Linked DNA regions of Diceros bicornis minor. The protein of the gene in region 1 interacts with the protein of each later gene in a pairwise test. Links are inferred from orthologs where the notes say so. Each region holds a gene or a part of one and is shown on either strand. Other genes may lie near its edges.

Region 1 (8,837 bases):
CTATTAATGAAAAAGACACACTTCAATGTCACACTTTGTCGTCAAAAATGTGGTGATTAAAATAATACAGAAGGCACTGGAATGCATTCTAGGAGGAAGGAGACTAGAGGATAGAGCATGAATTTATTATTTGGCTAAAATAGTACTAATATGAAGTTACTCTACTCTATTAAAGCCATTATATTGAAATGTAATCTACTAATCATTCTGTTAACTGATAACAGACAATTTCTAAGTTGGATTAGGGATGGAGAGGACACCAGATACGTGCAGGGGGTTAGGGTCAGAGGTAGTAGATGTATTGATGCCAAAAGGAAAAAAGGGAACAGAATGAGGAAAATGAGAATGCCAAAACCAAACTTATTTCACAATTTCACCTAGGGTCCGTGCTATTAACAGTTAGCTGTGATGGACCATCAGGAGCTGTGGATAGGAGTTTGTGTGTGCATGTGTATAACTTGAGATGAATGACAACAAGCTAGTAATGCTTTGCATAATTTATCAAGAATTTTTAATTCCTTTTTCCTCTCCCCAGCATTGCTGACTCTGTAGAAAGATGTTTAGTCCTAGATAATTCTACAATGAGGTATTACATCACCAGACTACATAAATAGATACCATATAACTATATGCAAGTAAAAATAAATTTCCTTTTCTTAAAAAAGCACAGAGAAACTGCTTACCTGATATACATTAGCGTGAAGCCTATTTTTGGATACTTCCTGTACCTATTGCAACAGATTTCCAATTAGACTTTGCAGCAAACAATTTGCTTTAATTTCTCCAGGAACCTCCAATACAGGATAACGGGCAGGTGTGCTGTGTTGGAAGTAAGGTTGGTACCTTAAAGACTATGAAAACAAGGAAGCAAGCATTTGTAGAGTAAACTGGACTCAGAAATGAAAGACTCCTTCAATTAAAGATTTTCTGTTGGTCTCGAGCAGAAGGCTCACATCACCCCATTTAACACCACAAAGCCTGTAATAAATACCTTCATGTATTGACAAATCCATTTGCTAAACAGCAAAGTCTCACAAGAATACTTTGAAATGTTTCATAATATATTACATACCCTAAGCTGCTTCCAAATCAAAAGAATAAAAGCAAAAACTCTAATTTAAAATTAGAAAAACAAGTCAAGTAATGTATTTTAGACTAACTCTTTGAGACAGAAAATAAGACTTTTTAGAAGTTCATCTTCTTTAGCATCCTATTTTTGAATGAGGGACACTTTTTACACTTGTTCTCTTTACACTGGAAGGAATTACAAAAACAGGATCTTATAGTTTTATACTCTTTGGTGAAATTAAGTCTTTTCTTTACAAGAGCAATTCTCAGTTCCCAGATTCTCGCCATGTGATGTGTTTGTGCCTGCCATGTCATGTCATTAGTTCTACTGCAACATCTGATTTCAACTCAATCGAAGTAATTTTTGCCACCAGTGACTGTCGTGGACTTATTCCTCTGCACGTTTCCATCTTCATTACAATTGATGTATTCTGATCACTTACATTAGCTTTAGGTTATGGTTACTAATACAGTTAAGGAATTGTTCTATTTCAACAGTGTAACAAATGCATGGACTTTTGTAAGATCTCACCTCTCTGTGGGGAGTGAAGAATTCATCCACAGAATAATCAATAGATGGGTGGAGCTAGTAACCTAAGCAAGGAGAGGTCAAACACCTCTGCATACCCGGTCAGTTCTTATGCCAAGGGAAATGGAAACGAGAAGTCCTTGGTGATCTTGGGTAGGTACTCCTAATCCTTTGTGAACTTTACTTAAGAAAATGGTGAAACTGGCAAACAAAGGAAGACATATTAAAAGTTTTTTCCCCATAGTAGTGATGGATTTGTGTCCATCAAACATTTTTGTTTACTTTTCTTGTGAATAGTGAGACAGAGTTAAGCGTTGAGACTGCATCTGGCCGAGGACCAGTTCTGTGAGGTTCCTTGGCCCACACAAAGATGAAAATGGAAACTTTGGCCTCTTAAATTGCTACCGATCTTAGGCAGGTCCGCTAATGTCTGAAAGCCAAGGGTCCCATCATTGTCTCTTTAGAAAACAACAAAGGTTCAGTGCTGATTAACTAATATTTTCAAATTGCTTCAAGATTCTTAGATGAGATGCTTGATTAAATCTGAGCCTAATCGAAATTCCAGGGTCTGAGTCGTGGGTTCAGCTCTTCCTCTTCTCTGCAGGGAATGGGGTCCAAGACAGAGACTTGGATTAGGAACATAGACTGTCTTCAAATCTACCTGGTGGCCACCACACTAGGATACTAGAGCTGTGGGCTGACACTGAATTCTTAGCAAGCTGTGGGTAAAAAAATACTCTTTTTTTTTCTACGGCCTCTTTTCTACAGTCCACTTGTAAAGCCTACAAATTTAGGGATGGGTGTGGAAAAGAAAAGGTTTGGTTAGACATTTAGCATGCTAGATAACCAGGATCCCTTAAGAAGCAGAGAACTGTAACAGATAAAACGAATCTAGAGGAAGATGTGAAACGGGCTATGGTTTGGAGTTGTGTGTCCATTTGTCAGATTGATACATCCTCACATTTTAGTATTTACTTGTATAGATAACACTATTTTACTTTCTGTACTTGTACATGTAACACTAAGTTACAAAAGCAATAGAAGGGTTTTTTGCTTTTTTCCAAAAGAACTCCTAAAATGGCTAATCAAACAGCCCTGCTCACTCAACTTGCATGCAGAAGAAGGAAGTCAGGCCAAAGGTTTGGTCAAACCTAAGTTAGCGTGTATCTCTTGGGTCCAGCACTTAACCTCAACTCCTAGCTGAGTTAGGTATAACTGATGGTCATGGAAATGTGTAGAAATAATAATAGCAATTAACATTTATTCAGTGCTTCCATTATACACTTACTGCTATTTGCTTCATATAGATTATTTCATCTAGGTCTTATAACAACTTCATATAAAGTAGGAAGTTTTATTATGGATCTGAACTAATCCAACAATAACACTAGAGAAATAACTCATCATATATGCCCTACTCATGGTGGATCAATAACGCCATGAGGTTACAGAGAGGATAGCTCGTGCTAAGGCATACTAAGTTATTGCCTTTTCCCGGAACATTTCACTAGGCTACCAAGACACTTCTCCTGCTCCTTCTGTCTCCTTTGCTGAATCCTCTTCATCTTACCGGCTTAATGTTGGAGTGCCCCAGGGCTCACTTCTTGGTCCTCCTCTTTTCTCTAGCTACATTATCTAGTTGATCTCAACCAGTCCCATGATTTTAAATACCATGTATATGCTCACAACCTCCACACTATGTTCACCCCAGATACATATATCTAGTTGTCTACACCTATTTTCACGTGGATATTTAACAGACGCCTCAATCTTACCACGTCTAAATCAGAGACTACAAATACTCCCCTCTCCCCGCCAGATCTGTTTCTTTTCTATCCCCTCAATTTCAGTAAATGGCAATTCCACTCTCCCAAGAGCCTAGACCAAAACACTTGGGGTCATCTTTGACTCGGCTCTTTCTCTTATACTCACATCTAATCTATCAGCAATTCCTGCGTGCTTTATCTTCTAAATAGAATCAGAATCTGACCACTTCTCTCCATCACTCTGACTTTAGTCCAGGCCATCCTTATTTTTCATCCCAGCTAGGCTAATCTCCTTGCTGGCTCTCCTGCTTCCCTTCATATATTGTTCCTATAGCAACCAGTCATCTTTTTTAAAAAAAATTTTTTTAACCTTTTAAAACTTACACATAAATACACATAAATGATGACCACCTTCATGTACCCATCACTCAGCATCAAAAACTAACATTTTGCCCATCTTCTTCCTTCTATTCCCCATCCTCTCTTTTTTGGTGGAGTATTCTTTTTTTCTTTTTGAGGAAGACTGGCCCTGAGCTAACATCTGTTGCCAATCTTCCCCTTTTTCTTATTTCTCCCCAAAGCCCCAGTACATAGTTGTATATCCTAGTTATAGGTCCTTTTAGTTCTTCTATGTGGGACACCACCTCAGCACGGCTTCATGAGTGGTGAGTAGGTCCGCGCCCAGGAACCAAACCGCGAACGCCCAACCAAAGCTGACAGCGAGAACTTATCGGCTGTGCCACTGGGCTGGAGCCTGGTGGAGTATTTTAAAACAAATCCCAGCCAAGTCCTCCTTTTAATTATCTGATTAAGCTGCTCATGACTTTCTAGTTGCTTATCTTCTCAGCAAAAGCCAAATCCCTTATGATGACCTACAAGGCCTATGTGATGTCACTACTCCCCCCCATCTCAGCTCACTATATCCTCTCCTCACTCTGCTTCAGCTACACCAGAGGTTCTCAACCTTAGCATCATCTGGAGGGCTTGTCACAGCAACACTGCTGGGCCCCACCCTCAGAGTTTCTGATTCATTAGATTTGAAGCAGGCCTGGAGAATCTGCATTTCTAACAAAGTCCCAGATGCTACTGCTGTCCAGTGGGCATACTTGGAGAACCACCAGCTACACTGTTCTCCTTCCTGTTCCTCAACAAGCCAGGCAAGATTTTGCATAAGCGTCCCTGCACTACTCTTCCCTTGCCCTGAGAACTCTCTGCTTTACTCAAGATTCATTTTATGCCATCTCTGTGTAAATGACTTCATTTGAGAGGCCTTCCCTGACCATTCCTAAAATAGCAGCCCATCTCCTCACCCTGATTTTCCTCATTGCAGGCATCGTTCGTTTATAGTTTCTTAGCCCGTCTAGATCGACAGCTGCACAAGTAGAGACCTGGTTTTGCTCTCTATCCTCCACCCAGTACCAAAACCTTGCCTACTAGGTGCTCACTTCACTTGTCCAACAAACGGATCACATACTGAGGAGGGAGGCCCAGGTTCTTGCTTGGGACACGGGCCAGGCAAATTCATTTCTTCTTGCCTCAGTTTCACCATTTGTAGAGGAAGTGGTTGGTTCTGCCTACCCTTCCCATCTCCCTGGGCACAGGCTCAAATCTAAGAGAATAATGTGAACACGCTTGTGAAGCAGAGCAATAAGTCAACGCGAGCGCGACTGCTGTGCTTTCGGGCGCCCTCTTCCCGCACAGACAGCACCCCTTCCCATTTTCTAGCTCCCCCGCCCGGGTGACCCACAGTCCCCGCCGCGGGCGGCCGTCGCCCCCGTCCCGCCGCGCCGCCCGCGTCTGGACGCGCCCGCCCGCCTCCAGCAGCAACAGCAGCCTGAGCCTGAGCCTGAGCGGCGGCAGCAGAGAAAGAGGGAGGCGCCGAGGGAGGGGTCCCGGGCCGCCGCGGGAGGCCGCAGCGCCGTCCGGTCACGGCGTCGGCGCCGGCCGGGGCCGAACCCGGAAGTGGCTGAGCCGGCGCGCCCGTCCGTCCCGCCGCCGCTGCTGCCGCCGCCGCCGCCGCCCCGCACTCGGGCGAGCGCGGGAGCCGCGCAGGCACACGGAGCGCGCCCGGCCGAGCGGGCCATGGCCGCGGGGGCCGCCGCCGCGGCTGGTGGCGCGCGGTGAGGCGAGCGCGGCGCCCCCCCCGGGGCGGATGGAACGCGGCTCGGCGGGCGGGCAGTGCCGGCGTCCGCGGCTGGAATGGTGCTGGCGGCGGCGGTCGGTGCCTGCGTTCTGAAGCCCGAGAGGAGCCACAATGGAGACGCCGCCGCTGCCTCCCGCGTGAGTGAGCGGCCGGGCGGGCTGTGCCGCTGCGGCGCTTGTCGCCGGCCGTGGGCGCTGCTCGGGGACGGCCGCCCGGTGCCCGCCGGCGGAGGACGCCCGGAGCCACCGGGGGCGGCGGGAGGTGGGAGCTGCGGGGCGTGACGAGGCGCGGTTCCCGCAGTCCTGAGGCGGACGCGGACGGAAACTCAGCCTGGCCAGGCAGCGACTTAAAACGCTGCCCATGATTTCCAGGAAGGGTCTGCCCCATCCCAGGCGAATAGAAGCTTCGGGATGGGCTGTGCTTGGGCACTCTGTCCTGTGTGTACCCCTCTGAAATGCATGGGCTGCTGGTGCCCAGCTTGTCCACCCCTTTCTAAGGGATGGAGATATGGTGCACGGGAGTCTGTTGGAAAAAAAAAGCAGCTGGAAAGTACTAGACGCCCGGTGTCTATATGAATTGATTTTACGTTGCTTGCTTCTCCGAATTTCTAGCAAAATTAATATCCGAAGCTTTTACATCACTCTAAATGAGCCGCGGCTGTTCAGGGCATGTGACCTCTTTTACCTGGCACTGCAGAAAATTGTGTCCAGAAATCAGAGCATCTTATGTTTCCTTGGTACCCTGGGCACATTAGGAGTATAGCGACTTGCCAGGCACAGGTGGCTTTTCCTTGGTACCCACATACCTTCAAGATCACCTGCAACAAAATTACCCTCCAGAAATAATAACAGCTGAATTTTGTGGGAGATATTGAAAATTTACATTATTCAGTGCAATATATTTTTTTTTAGTATTTGGTAAAAGTGGGCTATAAATCCCCAGGAGTTTTGACAATTTCAATTTTGATTGGCTTTTCTTAGTTTAACCTTTATGAAGGAACGAGAGCCCTTTGCATCTGACTTTTCAGACCGTGAACAAACCTCATTCTGAAGAGTGGTGTACCTTTTCGCGAGAGCTTATTCATGGAGCTTTATCCTTTTTCACTTGGATTTGGCCAGCTTCAGTCCATGGCAGTTGTACTGCACCAGCCTCTTGTGGTTGTTTGGCGGGATTCCAGCCAAAATATGGATATTTGGCTTGGGTGGAATAATTTTTTGATGTTGGGTCCTTTTAGGAGAGCTAATAGGATCCTGGGAACTACATTTTCCAAAAGTGCCTTACAGAATTTTTAGCTTGAGTGGAACAGGTCATGGGGCTCTAAGGAGTAGATGATAAGACTCTTGAATTGATCGTCCTGGGCTGGTAGAAGCAAGGGGCTCAGTTGCTTTGTGATTGCTGTGGCCTTGAGGGCTTTGTGATCTGGTCTGGTTCTTCAGCAGGTTCGGGAAGGCTCCTGAACCCCTAGGAAACGTGATGGTGGATTGTTAGCATCAGCAGCCTGAGCACAGCACAGCACAGGAGTTCAGTCCAGGCTCAGAGGCACTGAAGACAGGAAATGCTACCTGTATATAGACAGCACATAGTGTATAGAATATACCAGGTAGGCATGTTATCTATGGTAAACCTGCCCCCTTGTTATCAGTTCTCTGCAGTCTCTTTTTACTTTGGGAGCAGAGGGAACTAAAGCAAAGAACAAGGGGATCTTAGAATGCAGGTGAAAAAAAGGTGTGGGAAAGCAGGCTCTGGAGGGAGGGCGTAGAGACATAGAAAATGATTTAAATGGAAATAATTAAAAGTGAAATAGATGTGTGCATGCAAATATTGATAAACTGAATCTTGGACAGATCAACTAATCATGATTTTGGCGTCTAGCACAATTCTTTGGTATTGATACTCCATCAATAATGCTGAAACAATGACAGGCTGAGATGTACTGGAAAGCGTGGAATGCCAGCAGGCAGAAAAGAATTGTTAAAACTTCTTTTAATTGTGGGTGGCTAAAGATGGTGAGACTTTTTATTGTTTCTGTTCATTTAATAATAAATACAAATAAGTTTTATTTTCCTTTGGTCTGTCTAGGATTAACTCTTATTCCAGAGCTCTTTGGAGCGTCACTTACCTTTCTGTAGATCAGAAATAGTTTTCCCTGCCACCCCTCGGCCTGTTTGCCTCCACTCCCATGAACTTGTGTTTTCCTTCCACCTGAATCATGGGGGCCGGATTTGAGAAATGCAGGCAGTGTCTTTGGGAAGCAACATCATTGGACCTCACTGGGCTAGAGCTGGGCGAGGACAGAGGCCAGTGGAAGTTATTGGGAGGGCTCAGCTTTTCATAAGGTTAGATTTTTAGCCTGAGCTTTAAGGCAAAGAAAAATGTTTGATGTGGCCTTAAAGTGCCTTGGATGATGTGATTGGAAGCAGGGACTCAGATCCTCTTTGTGCGAGTGTCTGTTTATTAATTCATTAATTCTGCAAATATTTGAATGCCTGTCTGTGCCTGGCGCTGTGTGTGGTGCTCTTGGCGTATGCTTCTTTTTTAACAGCCCGTTTTACTTTGTTTTCAAGTCTCACTTTGCTCCCCTTCAGCCTATTAGCTTATTGTCTTGGAGGGATAGAGGCGACTGTGCCCCCGCTCCCTAGTTCCTTCAGGATGGGCTCGTTGAAATTAGGTTTTGATCTCTTGTGCTCTTTCCACTCCTTGCCTCCAAGTTCTCCTCATCCTTTTTAATTCTCATATTGATTGTCATTGGGCATCATAGCTCTGCTTATTGTTTTTTTTGCATCTTATATGTGGCATTTAGATTCTGTTGCATTTTAGGGTCTGGGTAACAAATGTCGTGGGACGTTTGCCTCCGATCCAACCTAAAAGGTGTACAACTAAGAATTAGATGTCGAGTAGTAAAGGAATTTCAGGCAGTAAACTGAGATATGCAAAAGGAAATGTAAATTGATCAGCCCTGACCTCAGAAATGTTTTACACATTCTAGCTTTTATAGTTATTTATGTAAAGGATTTTCATCATGATTAAGTTGAGGGAAGCCTATGAGGTATAGGATGAAGTTCATCCCTTTCACCACCCCTCACTCAACAGTTCTCTTGGCCCTTGTTTTCTTACTGGCTTCTCTTTCATGAGTTGGCTTTCTCGCTACAGGCCTTAATTTTTTGCTTTTCCTTCACAAAACTAAGTAAACATGCCTCAGAAACAACCATATCTTTTTTCAGTTGATGATTCCGCATCACTGGAGACTCTTGTCATCGGAGTTGTTCAGGCATCAGCAGACAAACATCGTGTGGACCGTGTTCTAAGGGATTCAGGTGGCACAAGATTGGTT
Region 2 (9,059 bases), on another chromosome or scaffold:
ACAACCTCTCCCCATCATGGCAAAAATATTCTTGGACTCAGACCCAGGTATCCAAGTTCTAAGTCCCCCGGTCAAAGAGTCCCCACATTTCCTTGAGGGTTAGGTGCCCAGTCTTGCCATACTCTGCTCTCGTCCCTCTCTCTCTCCTCCATTCCTCTCTGGGATCTTCTCCCAGAGTGATGGTGACTTCCAGTCAAAATCAAGCGAGAAAGTGTCTCCCCACCTCCTCGCTAATCCCAGAGGGACCCAAGCCTCCCTCCACTTGATTTAAACCAGTTGGCATCCCTTAGGCCCCCTGTGCCCTGGGCTGGGCAACGCTAGGCATTTGGTAGTGATCACTGCCCTCGTGGGGCTCACAGTCCAGTGCAGGAGACAGACCTGTCCCCAGACAGTGACAATCCAGAGTGGGCAGAGCTGGGATGGGGGACCCCAGGGGGCTGCTGGAGCGCAGAGCGGGCAGTTGACCCAGGCTGAGAGGTCAGGGAGGGCTTCCCGGAGGAGGGGATGTGCAGGCTGAGACTGAAGAGGTAAGGAAAGGTAAATGGAGCATGGAAGCATGCATCACAGATTTAGTTCCAAGCAACAGAAGCCGCCCCTGGGGCAAAAAGGAAATTGATTGAGAAGGTTTGGGATCGCTCATAAAATCCCAGGAGTGATTAGAGAACCAGGATTGGAAAGTGATCAAGAGCGCTGGCAGCCAGCCTCCAACCACAGCCCAGCCACGATCACGCCACAGAACCGGTCTGATGAGGATACGCTGGTGCTCCGATGACCACTGGACACTCGTTGTCTTGCTGCCTCGGCTACCCCAGAAACAGGCTGTGTCTGCTAGCTGTTGCTCCAACAAATCCCACCAAGACTTATTGGGGAACAACAGCAATCATGTTAATATCCCTCGTGGTTGCTGGGGGCCAGGATTTGGGGAAGGGCTCAGTTGGGTGGTTCTGGCTCAGGGTGCAATCAAATAGTGTGATCAAGTGGTCCTTGGAGCTGGGCAGCTGGGGGCAGGACAGGTGTCCCTCTGCAGACCTCTCCGTAGGGTCTCCACACTTGCTGATTTGGGCTTCCCCACAGTGTGGCTGCCTCAAGGTAGTCAGACTGCTTAGATGGTGGCTGAAGTCTTTTTGGAGAGAATTCCCATGACCTAGACAGAAGCTACATGGATTTTTCTACCTAATCTGGGGAGTCATGCAGTGTCACTTCTGCCACGTTGGTTACATGCGAGTCACAAAACCGCACAGATTTAAGAGGAGGAGACATAGACCCCACCTCTTGGGGGAAAGAGTGTCACGATCAGATTGCAGAAGAGCCTGTGGAATGAGAGATCTTGTAGCTGTCATCTTGGGAAAATAGAATGCATCCCGGCTGCTATAGTGGGAACAGATTAGCCAGTTCTTGCTTCTTTGGGATTATTAGCTCCCAGTTCCAAAGTATAGCAGAATTGGCCAAGCGTAGGTCACCTTAGCTCCAACAGAGGCAGGAAAGCAAACATCTGTCCTTGTTGGCTTCAACAGAGGGCAGCAGGCTTTCAGACACCAGGGATGTTTCTAAATGTGGGAAAGGCGCGTGGATGCTACCTTACCCTCCCCCGCAAAAAAGGCTGCTCCGGTCCTCCCCTTTGAATGCTCAACATCAGTACATATCTTTGTCCTATACTACATTCTTTTCCCCCAAAAGTTCTTATCTAAACTCTCCCTGCACAACTAACTGGTAAACCAAAAATGCATTCACACCGCCCCCCAAGACAACACAAAGTCTCAACGGTTACATTTTCCAGATGTAAGTCTGGAACCATTGGGAAATAGCCAGTCCCCTCGAGATGTGTCGCGAGCCCCATATCCCACACGCTGTGAACTAGCTTTAAAGTGAACCGTCACACGCTGTATGTAAAACAATGGGATGCAGGTGGGGAAAGAGGAGGCTTGTTAATGGAAACGTACAAGGATATACACAGGAGACAGCAAGGATGGAATTGGAGAGTTCATTCATTTCCTTTTTACTCAGCTCCTCCTATGCCAAGCACTGTTCTAGGCACTGGAGATACAGTGAACAAAACCACAGAGCTTAGCTTCTGTGCCAGACAAACAATAAAAAATAGATCTGTGGCAGTGGTAAGTGCTGCAGAGGAAAAACGTAGTAAGATAAGGGAAATGAGGCGTGGCTGGGATGGTCAAAGAAAGCTCTGATGATGTGATGTTGGGGTAGAGATTTGAAGCAAGGGAGGGAGGGAGATTCCCAGCAGAGAGGAGAGGAAGCGCAAAGGCCTGGAGGCTGGAACAGGCCTGGCATTGGAGGAACAGCATGGAAGCAAAGAGACCAATGTGGCAAGAGTAGAGCTATCGAAGGGGAAGAGAGGAAGATGGGGTCAGGGCGGTGACGAGGACCACATGGAGGACCTTGTGAGCCGTGAAGAGGATTTCGCTTTTACTCTGAGTGAGAGGAGCCGTGGGAGGATTCTGAGCAGAAGAGTAACGTGAGTTGAGTCACATTTGAACAGGATCCCTCTGCCTGTTTCCTAGGAATAAACTGCAGGGGACAAGGGCAGAGGATGTTACGGGACTAGTTTCTGCAGGTCTGTGAGGGACCGTGGCTGATATCTATGACTTCCCTCCTTCACCCACAATCCGTATGGTCCTCTCCCAACTAGAACCTCAGCTGGTTGGGTTCTTGAGGAAGGTGGAAGACGGGTGGCTGAGAAGAGGGCACCTGCCAGGGTCCGGCCCCATCAGTAGGCACGGAAGAGCTGGGGGGTGGGTGTCTGGGGTCGCAGTGTGGCGGCTTGTCCCAGGGAGCGTGTGGGGCTGTGTAGGAGTGCGACTGCCGTTGTCCCAGAGTGAGCTGGGATCGTGTGTCCTGTGACAGGGGGAGGGAGATCTGTTCCCAGTTAGAGATGACCCAGAGTCATCTCTGGGTTGGGCTGGGGTGGTGGAGCCCAGAGGGGTGCCTGGCCCAGCCTAGGGAAGCAGGGAGGGTGTCCTGGAAGAGGGGATGGTGCGGCTAATACTCAAAGATCACCTCCCCCAGTGTAATAGTTGCTCTCCTGTATCACCGATGGATAAATTGATTTGACAAGTCTGACCAATAACTTCCAGGCTGACCTATAATCTAAACCTTCCCTCTGTGTCTGATGGGCAAGGCCCAGTCTTACCAGTGACCCCCAAGTCTGATCAGAGGCCTGGGGAACCTCTCCCAGCAGGATCAGCTACCCCTCATTCTGACCAGTGTCCAGGGCTAGCTTCTCTCCGGTAACCAGTGACATCTCCCTCCCCCAGCAAGCCCCTGGCCGGCAGTCTGGGGATTTTGTCCTAGTCAGACCCGGCTTGTGAGAAGCCTCAGGCAGTCTGACCTCTGACTCCCAGTCTGACCTGTGACCTTTTCTTCTGACCCATGGCCAAGCCCCTCCCCGTCCTCTCAGGTACCCAGGCCTTCTCCCCTCCCCCACTCACCTGCTTCTGCCAGCCGGATTTTCCTCCCCTCCCCCCAAAGTTGGGAGGGAGCGAAGGGGGGAGGGAAAGAGGAAGGGGGTGGCATTCCTGGGATTCTCTGGTTGAGGAGAAGAGAGGGAGGGCCCTACAGAGCAGAGCCAAGGAAAGAGCACCCCGCAGCCCCCCCATCATCACAAAGGCCTGGGCAGAGCTGGGGTTTGAAGACTATTAGATATAAGAGATTGAACTGGTGGGTTCCAGGCTACTGTTCAGACAGGAAAGGAGCCCAGAGCACTGGCCATAGGGGAGGGCCTCACAGGGCAAACTGGGAGAAGCTATTCTAGAGCACTGGGCAGGCTCACAGTTACTGGGTGGACTGGGAAAGCCCAACCCAAGCCACTGATTAGACTGGGGTTCACTGGTTATTCTGCAGGAGGCTCATTCACGCCACTGATCAGGCTGGGGGCCACTGGTTGTCCTGGGAGAGGCCAGTGCAGGTCACTGGTTAGACAGGGTTCAGCTGGGTAAAATCAACGAGGCAAGGGCAAGCCACTGGCCATAGTGTGAAGGAGTCTCCAAGGCCCCTGGTCAGAATGAGGGGGAGAAGGTCTCAGCTCGGGACACTGGCCGGACTGGTTGGTCAGGCCACTCGCCGCGGGCGCTGGTCAGCCTGAGCTGCCAGTCCAGGGCTCGAGGGCAGAGGCAGCCCGCTCCAGGCGGAGCGCTGGGAGGTCGGCTCCGGGCAGTGGGAGGTCCTGGCCGGGCGCCCGGGTTTGGGGTGACGAGGGGGGCCGGGCGGGCGCGGCGGGGCGGGGCTGCCGGGGGCGGGGCCTCCTCTCTCCCCGCCCGGGGCCGCCGGGGCCGCCGAGCCGCAGCCCGGGCTGAGTCGCCGCCGCCGCCGCCGCCGCCACCGCCGGGAACATGGAGCCCCCGGACGCGCGGGTCGGGGCGCGCGGGGCCCCGCGGCTGCTGGCGCTCGTGCTCTTGCTGGGGGCGCACGCAGGTACGGCTCGGCGGAGAGCGGGGCGCGACTGGGGGCGGGCCCTGGGGACCCCGAGAAGGGAAGGGGGAGGGGGCTCTCACCGCCCCCAGGAAGCCAATCCTGGGGAGCCCAGGGAGGAGGGATATGGGAACGTCCGGGGCACCCCTCCCCGTGAGAGACCTGTGGACAGCCAGGCAGAGTTGCTGGGGATACCACAGCAGTGGATTAGAGACCACCTGAGAAGTCAGAGCCCGCTCCCCACTCGGGACCCAGGAGTGCGAGCCCCAGCCCCTCCTCCCTCAGACCCCAGAATCCAGGCCCCCAGCCCCTCCTCCCTCAGACCCAGGGGTCCAGGCCTCCAGGGACTGGAGTGGCTTCCCCAGGACACAGGAGACCGAAACCTCAGGGCTCCCCCCATGGAAGATTCTCAAGTTTTGAGAGGATCAGGGACCCTCAGGCCAGAAGCCAGAGCGTCCCCTGCATTTGAGGGTTTACCCCATCTAGATGCAGAGCCCAGACTCTGAGGAACCTGCCTCCCTCAGGAAAGGGCTGGAGCGCTGGCCCTGGGCAGTGGCAGTGGAACAAAGTGTTTCCGAGTGACAGTGCGCCCTTCCTGGGGCCCCAGATAAACCCACACACCTGCGAGGTGCTGGGAGGGGAGGAGCCCTGAGGGGCTGGCAGCAGGGGGCCGGAGAGATGAGAGAGACTGGGGAAGAGAGGGGAGATCTCTCTGTGTGTCTTTGCTGCCTGCTGCTCAGACTCAGCCCCAGGCACCAGCCTGGCCCCACGCCCCCTCCCCTGGGACAAGCCTGGGCCAGAGGTGGGTGCCTGGGAATCCAGGCCCCTGGTACAAGCATGGCAAATAGTGGCTCCCCAGGGGAAGGGCTGGGCCAGGCTGGGCGGGGAAGGGAAGGGAGCTTCTGAGAACTGAGAGCTGATGCCCAGAGGGTGAGAGAGCGTGGTTTCTCCATGAGAACAGCTCTATCTGCCAGGATCCTGGGACCGAGTCAGGCCCAGCCGCCAATTCCCCCAGGACCCAGGAGCCTAGGCTTCCAGCTCCCTTCTCCTTCAGGACACAGTATCTGGGGCCTCCACCCTATCCTGTTCTGGGGTGACGCACCTTACCCCCTTCCCTCCTCTATCAAAGAGGCAGAAGGGCCAACGGGCGGGTAGGGGGCTCTGGCGCCAGGTCGGGCAGGTCTGAGCCAGCCTGTCCCTCCCACATTCCTGAAACCTGCCCAGCCCTGTCCCCCCTCGCCACCCCCACACACTCATCCCACCTCAGCTCCAGGCCCAGCCGCAGCCCACACCCCAGCCCAGCCCCTAACTCATGAGGGGGAGACCCAGGGGCCCAGAGAGATGGAGACTGAGAGTGATGGGCTGAGAGAGACACAGAGAGAGGCAGAGAGTGTGGGACTAAGAGATGGAGACCCACACGCAGGGTGAGAGACACGCACGCAGAGATGGCACCCAGGATGGACGAGAGAGACATTTATCCTACGTCACCCTGCCAGGCCCTGCCCAGGGTGCTGGAGGCAAACGGATGAGCCGGCCCTGGCCCTGCCCTGGAAGGGTGTTTGGTCTACTGGGGAAAGCAAGGACAGGTGCAATTTTACCCCAGGAGGATTGAATGGAGGCCACCAGGCCCTGTGTGGCCCAAGGGAGGAGCCCTTAGTTCTGCAAGTGAAGGGAGCTATGGAGAGAACTGCTGATGGGAGCTGAAGCCAGAGATGCAGAGATGAGAGATGGAGGGAGACAGGAGCTGAGCCTGAGGGAGGAGGGGCTGGGCGCCCGGACCCCCGGGTCTGAGGGAGGAGGAGGCTGGGGGCCCGGACCCCCGGGTCTGAGGGAGGAGGAGGCTGGGGGCCCCGACCCCCGGGTCCTGGGGAAGGCGGGGCTCTATCTGGAGGGCTGTCCCTATTGGTGGCAGTGAGAGCTCAGTTGCCCTCCCGCAGGTGTGGAGGCTGAGGTGCATGGGTCTGTGCCCTCCCTGGTGGAGGTAATGCGAGGGAAGTCAGCCACCCTGAACTGCACCGCGTTGGGGACGCACGACCATTTCGCGCTGGAATGGTTTCTGGTGAGTGCTGTGGGCTGGGGCCGGGGGTGGTGGAAGGGGCCCTGGGAGCAGGGTGCAGCGGGGCCACAAACATCTATTCCCTCGTCAGAGCCTGAAGGACCCTAAGAGCTCTGCAATCTGCCTTTCCATTTGACAGATGGGGAAACTGAGGCCCAGCAAAGGGAAGGGACTCTCCAGGGTCCCCTGGTGTCCGGGCACAGCTGAGACTAGAATGAAGAATTCCCTCTTCAGAGGGCTGGCTCTTCAGAGAGAACATTCAGAGACAGACACCAAGAAAGCAAGAGACCCAGGGGTCGGGACTAAAGAGAGAGACAGAGAAGAAGAGAAAATAAGAGGCAGAGAGAGACAGGGTGGGAGAGGGAGGCGGAGAGAGAGGAAGAGAGTTGGGGACAGAGTGAGATGGAGAGAGAGGGAGATGACAACAGATAGGGCACAGGGACAGGAGGGTGTGGAGAGGGGGACAGAGGGACCAGAGACAGGTAACAAGAGGAAAAGAGACAGACCCACAGAGCAGCAGAAAGAAAGGGGCATGAGAGAGACAGAGACACGGAGGAGGGTGGGCTGGGCAGCTCCGAGCTGAGGCCCTCCCCGCCGGCAGGCCGACCGCTCCGGGGCCCGCCACCGCCTGGCCTCGGCCGAGCTGCAGGGCTCTGAGCTCCAGGTCAGGATGCACGACTCCCGGGGCCGCAGCCCCCCGTACCAGCTGGACTCCCAGGGGCGCCTGGTGCTGGCCGACGCCCAGGTGGGCGACGAGCGGGACTATGTGTGCGTGGTGCAGGCGGGGGCAGCGGACACCGCCGAGGCCACCACCCAGCTCCGAGTGTTCGGTGAGTGTCCAAGGGCACCCCTGGAAGGGGCGGACAGGAGACAGCCTGGGGAAGGGGCTCCTGACTGTAACGTCTCCCCCACAGCAAAACCAGAGGCCACCGAGGTCTCCCCCAACAAAGGGATTCTATCTGTGATGGATGACTCTGCCCAGGAGGTACCTTGGGATGGGCCTTGATTCCAGGGTGCTGGGGAAGGTGGGAGCTGGGGGGCCCATAAGCCTGGATCCTAAGGTTGGAGGGGCCTGGACTCCTGCATCCTGGGGAGGAGGGGGCTGCGGGGCCCAGGATCCTGGATCCTAAGGTTGGAGGGGGCTGGGGGCCTGGACTCCTCCATCCTGGGGGAGGAGAGGCCTAGGGGACCTAGAATCCGGGAGCCTAAGGTTGGAGGGGCCTAGACTCCTGCATCCTGGGGAGGAGGGGGCTGGGGGCCTGGGTTTCTCAGTCTGAGGAGGGGCCCGGAGGTGTGGACTTCTGGGTCCTTGGGGAGCAGAGGGCTGGGAGCCCAGACTCCTGTATCTGAGTGGGGAGAACTTCTGAGGGAGGCAGGGACCCAGATTTCGGAGTCCTGGCTCAGAGCCCAGGGCCACGCCCGTTTCACCTCAGATCGCCACCTGCAACAGCCCCAACGGGAACCCGGCCCCCCAGATCACGTGGTATCGGAATGGGCAGCTCCTGGAGGTGCCCCTGGAGGTGAACTCAGGTGAGCGGCGCAGGAGCCTGGCCAGACGGGGGGCGGGGTGGGCTGGTGGCCCGGCCACTGACGGCCTCCTCCGTCTCCCCCAGAGGGCTACATGACCACCCGTACCGTGCGGGAGGCCTCGGGCCTGCTGTCCCTCACCAGCACCCTCTACCTGCGGCTCCGCAAGGCCGACCGGGACGCCAGCTTCCACTGCTCCGTGCGCCACCGCCTGCCCGCCGGCCGGCAGGGCCGCCTGGACAGCCCTGTCTTCCGCCTCACCCTGCACTGTGAGTCCCCGCCGGCCCTGACCTCCCGCCCCCCACTCCACGCCTCCCTGAGGCCCGGCCCTCCCCTCTGGCCCTCACGCTGAAATGTGTCTGACCTCTGACCTCTGACCTCAAATAGTAGCACAAGCCCCATCCTATGTCTGACCCCCGTAGCACCCTGAACCCCATGGAGTTTCATGACTAAACGTCATGAAACATCCCACCCTCTCACACTGAATTGGGTCCCCAAATCTCACACTGGCCTGTCATCCACACTGATTTCTGACCCTTGACCTGTACTCTCAGCTTATCTCAATCCTGCCCTCTGGTCCCTGATCTCAGAATAAGAGTGAACCTGAACCTTGAAAGATGTGACCTCTCCCCTTTGACCGACCGTGGTCCTCCCCTTTGCTGGTGGCGCTGGCCTCTCTCCCTTAATCCGGCCCCGCCTTTTACCCTTGACCTGACCTACCCTGGACCCTGATGGTGAGTCTGCCCTGACCCGCTCCCGCCCTTTCTCTTAGATCCCACGGAGCACGTGCAGTTCTGGGTGGGCAGCCCAGCCACCACGGAGGGCTGGGTCCGCGAGGGTGACTCTGTCCAGCTGTTCTGCCGGGGGGACGGCAGCCCCAGCCCGGAGTACACCTTCTTCCGCCTCCAGGTGACCCAGCCATTATTCCTCTGGAGCCCTGGGCCCTGACCTCTGGGAGGTGCTGACCTGCCCCAGCTTCTAACCTTTCATCTGGGGGCGCCTGGCTTAGCTGACTGGTGACCCGGGAGCTCACGTGACCTCTGACCCCTGC

Evidence for each region.
Region 2: the proteins of KLHL2 (region 1) and BCAM interact in binary tests that used the Homo sapiens proteins (3 or more experiments, as listed by UniProt). The two-hybrid records come from large-scale screens. The link is inferred for Diceros bicornis minor from reciprocal best matches to the Homo sapiens genes KLHL2 and BCAM.

What each region holds. Positions count from the first base shown.
Region 1 is NC_080750.1:52,255,405-52,264,241, forward strand, and holds the start of KLHL2 (kelch-like protein 2), read left to right. Parts: upstream 1-5,368; 5' UTR 5,369-5,617; coding exon 5,618-5,643; intron 5,644-8,837. UniProt on the Homo sapiens protein: Substrate-specific adapter of a BCR (BTB-CUL3-RBX1) E3 ubiquitin ligase complex that mediates the ubiquitination of target proteins, such as NPTXR, WNK1, WNK3 and WNK4, leading most often to their proteasomal degradation.
Region 2 is NC_080773.1:19,162,048-19,171,106, forward strand, and holds the start of BCAM (basal cell adhesion molecule), read left to right. Parts: upstream 1-5,611; 5' UTR 5,612-5,830; coding exon 5,831-6,011; intron 6,012-6,362; coding exon 6,363-6,484; intron 6,485-7,082; coding exon 7,083-7,311; intron 7,312-7,395; coding exon 7,396-7,466; intron 7,467-7,914; coding exon 7,915-8,011; intron 8,012-8,094; coding exon 8,095-8,277; intron 8,278-8,780; coding exon 8,781-8,917; intron 8,918-9,059. UniProt on the Homo sapiens protein: Transmembrane glycoprotein that functions as both a receptor and an adhesion molecule playing a crucial role in cell adhesion, motility, migration and invasion.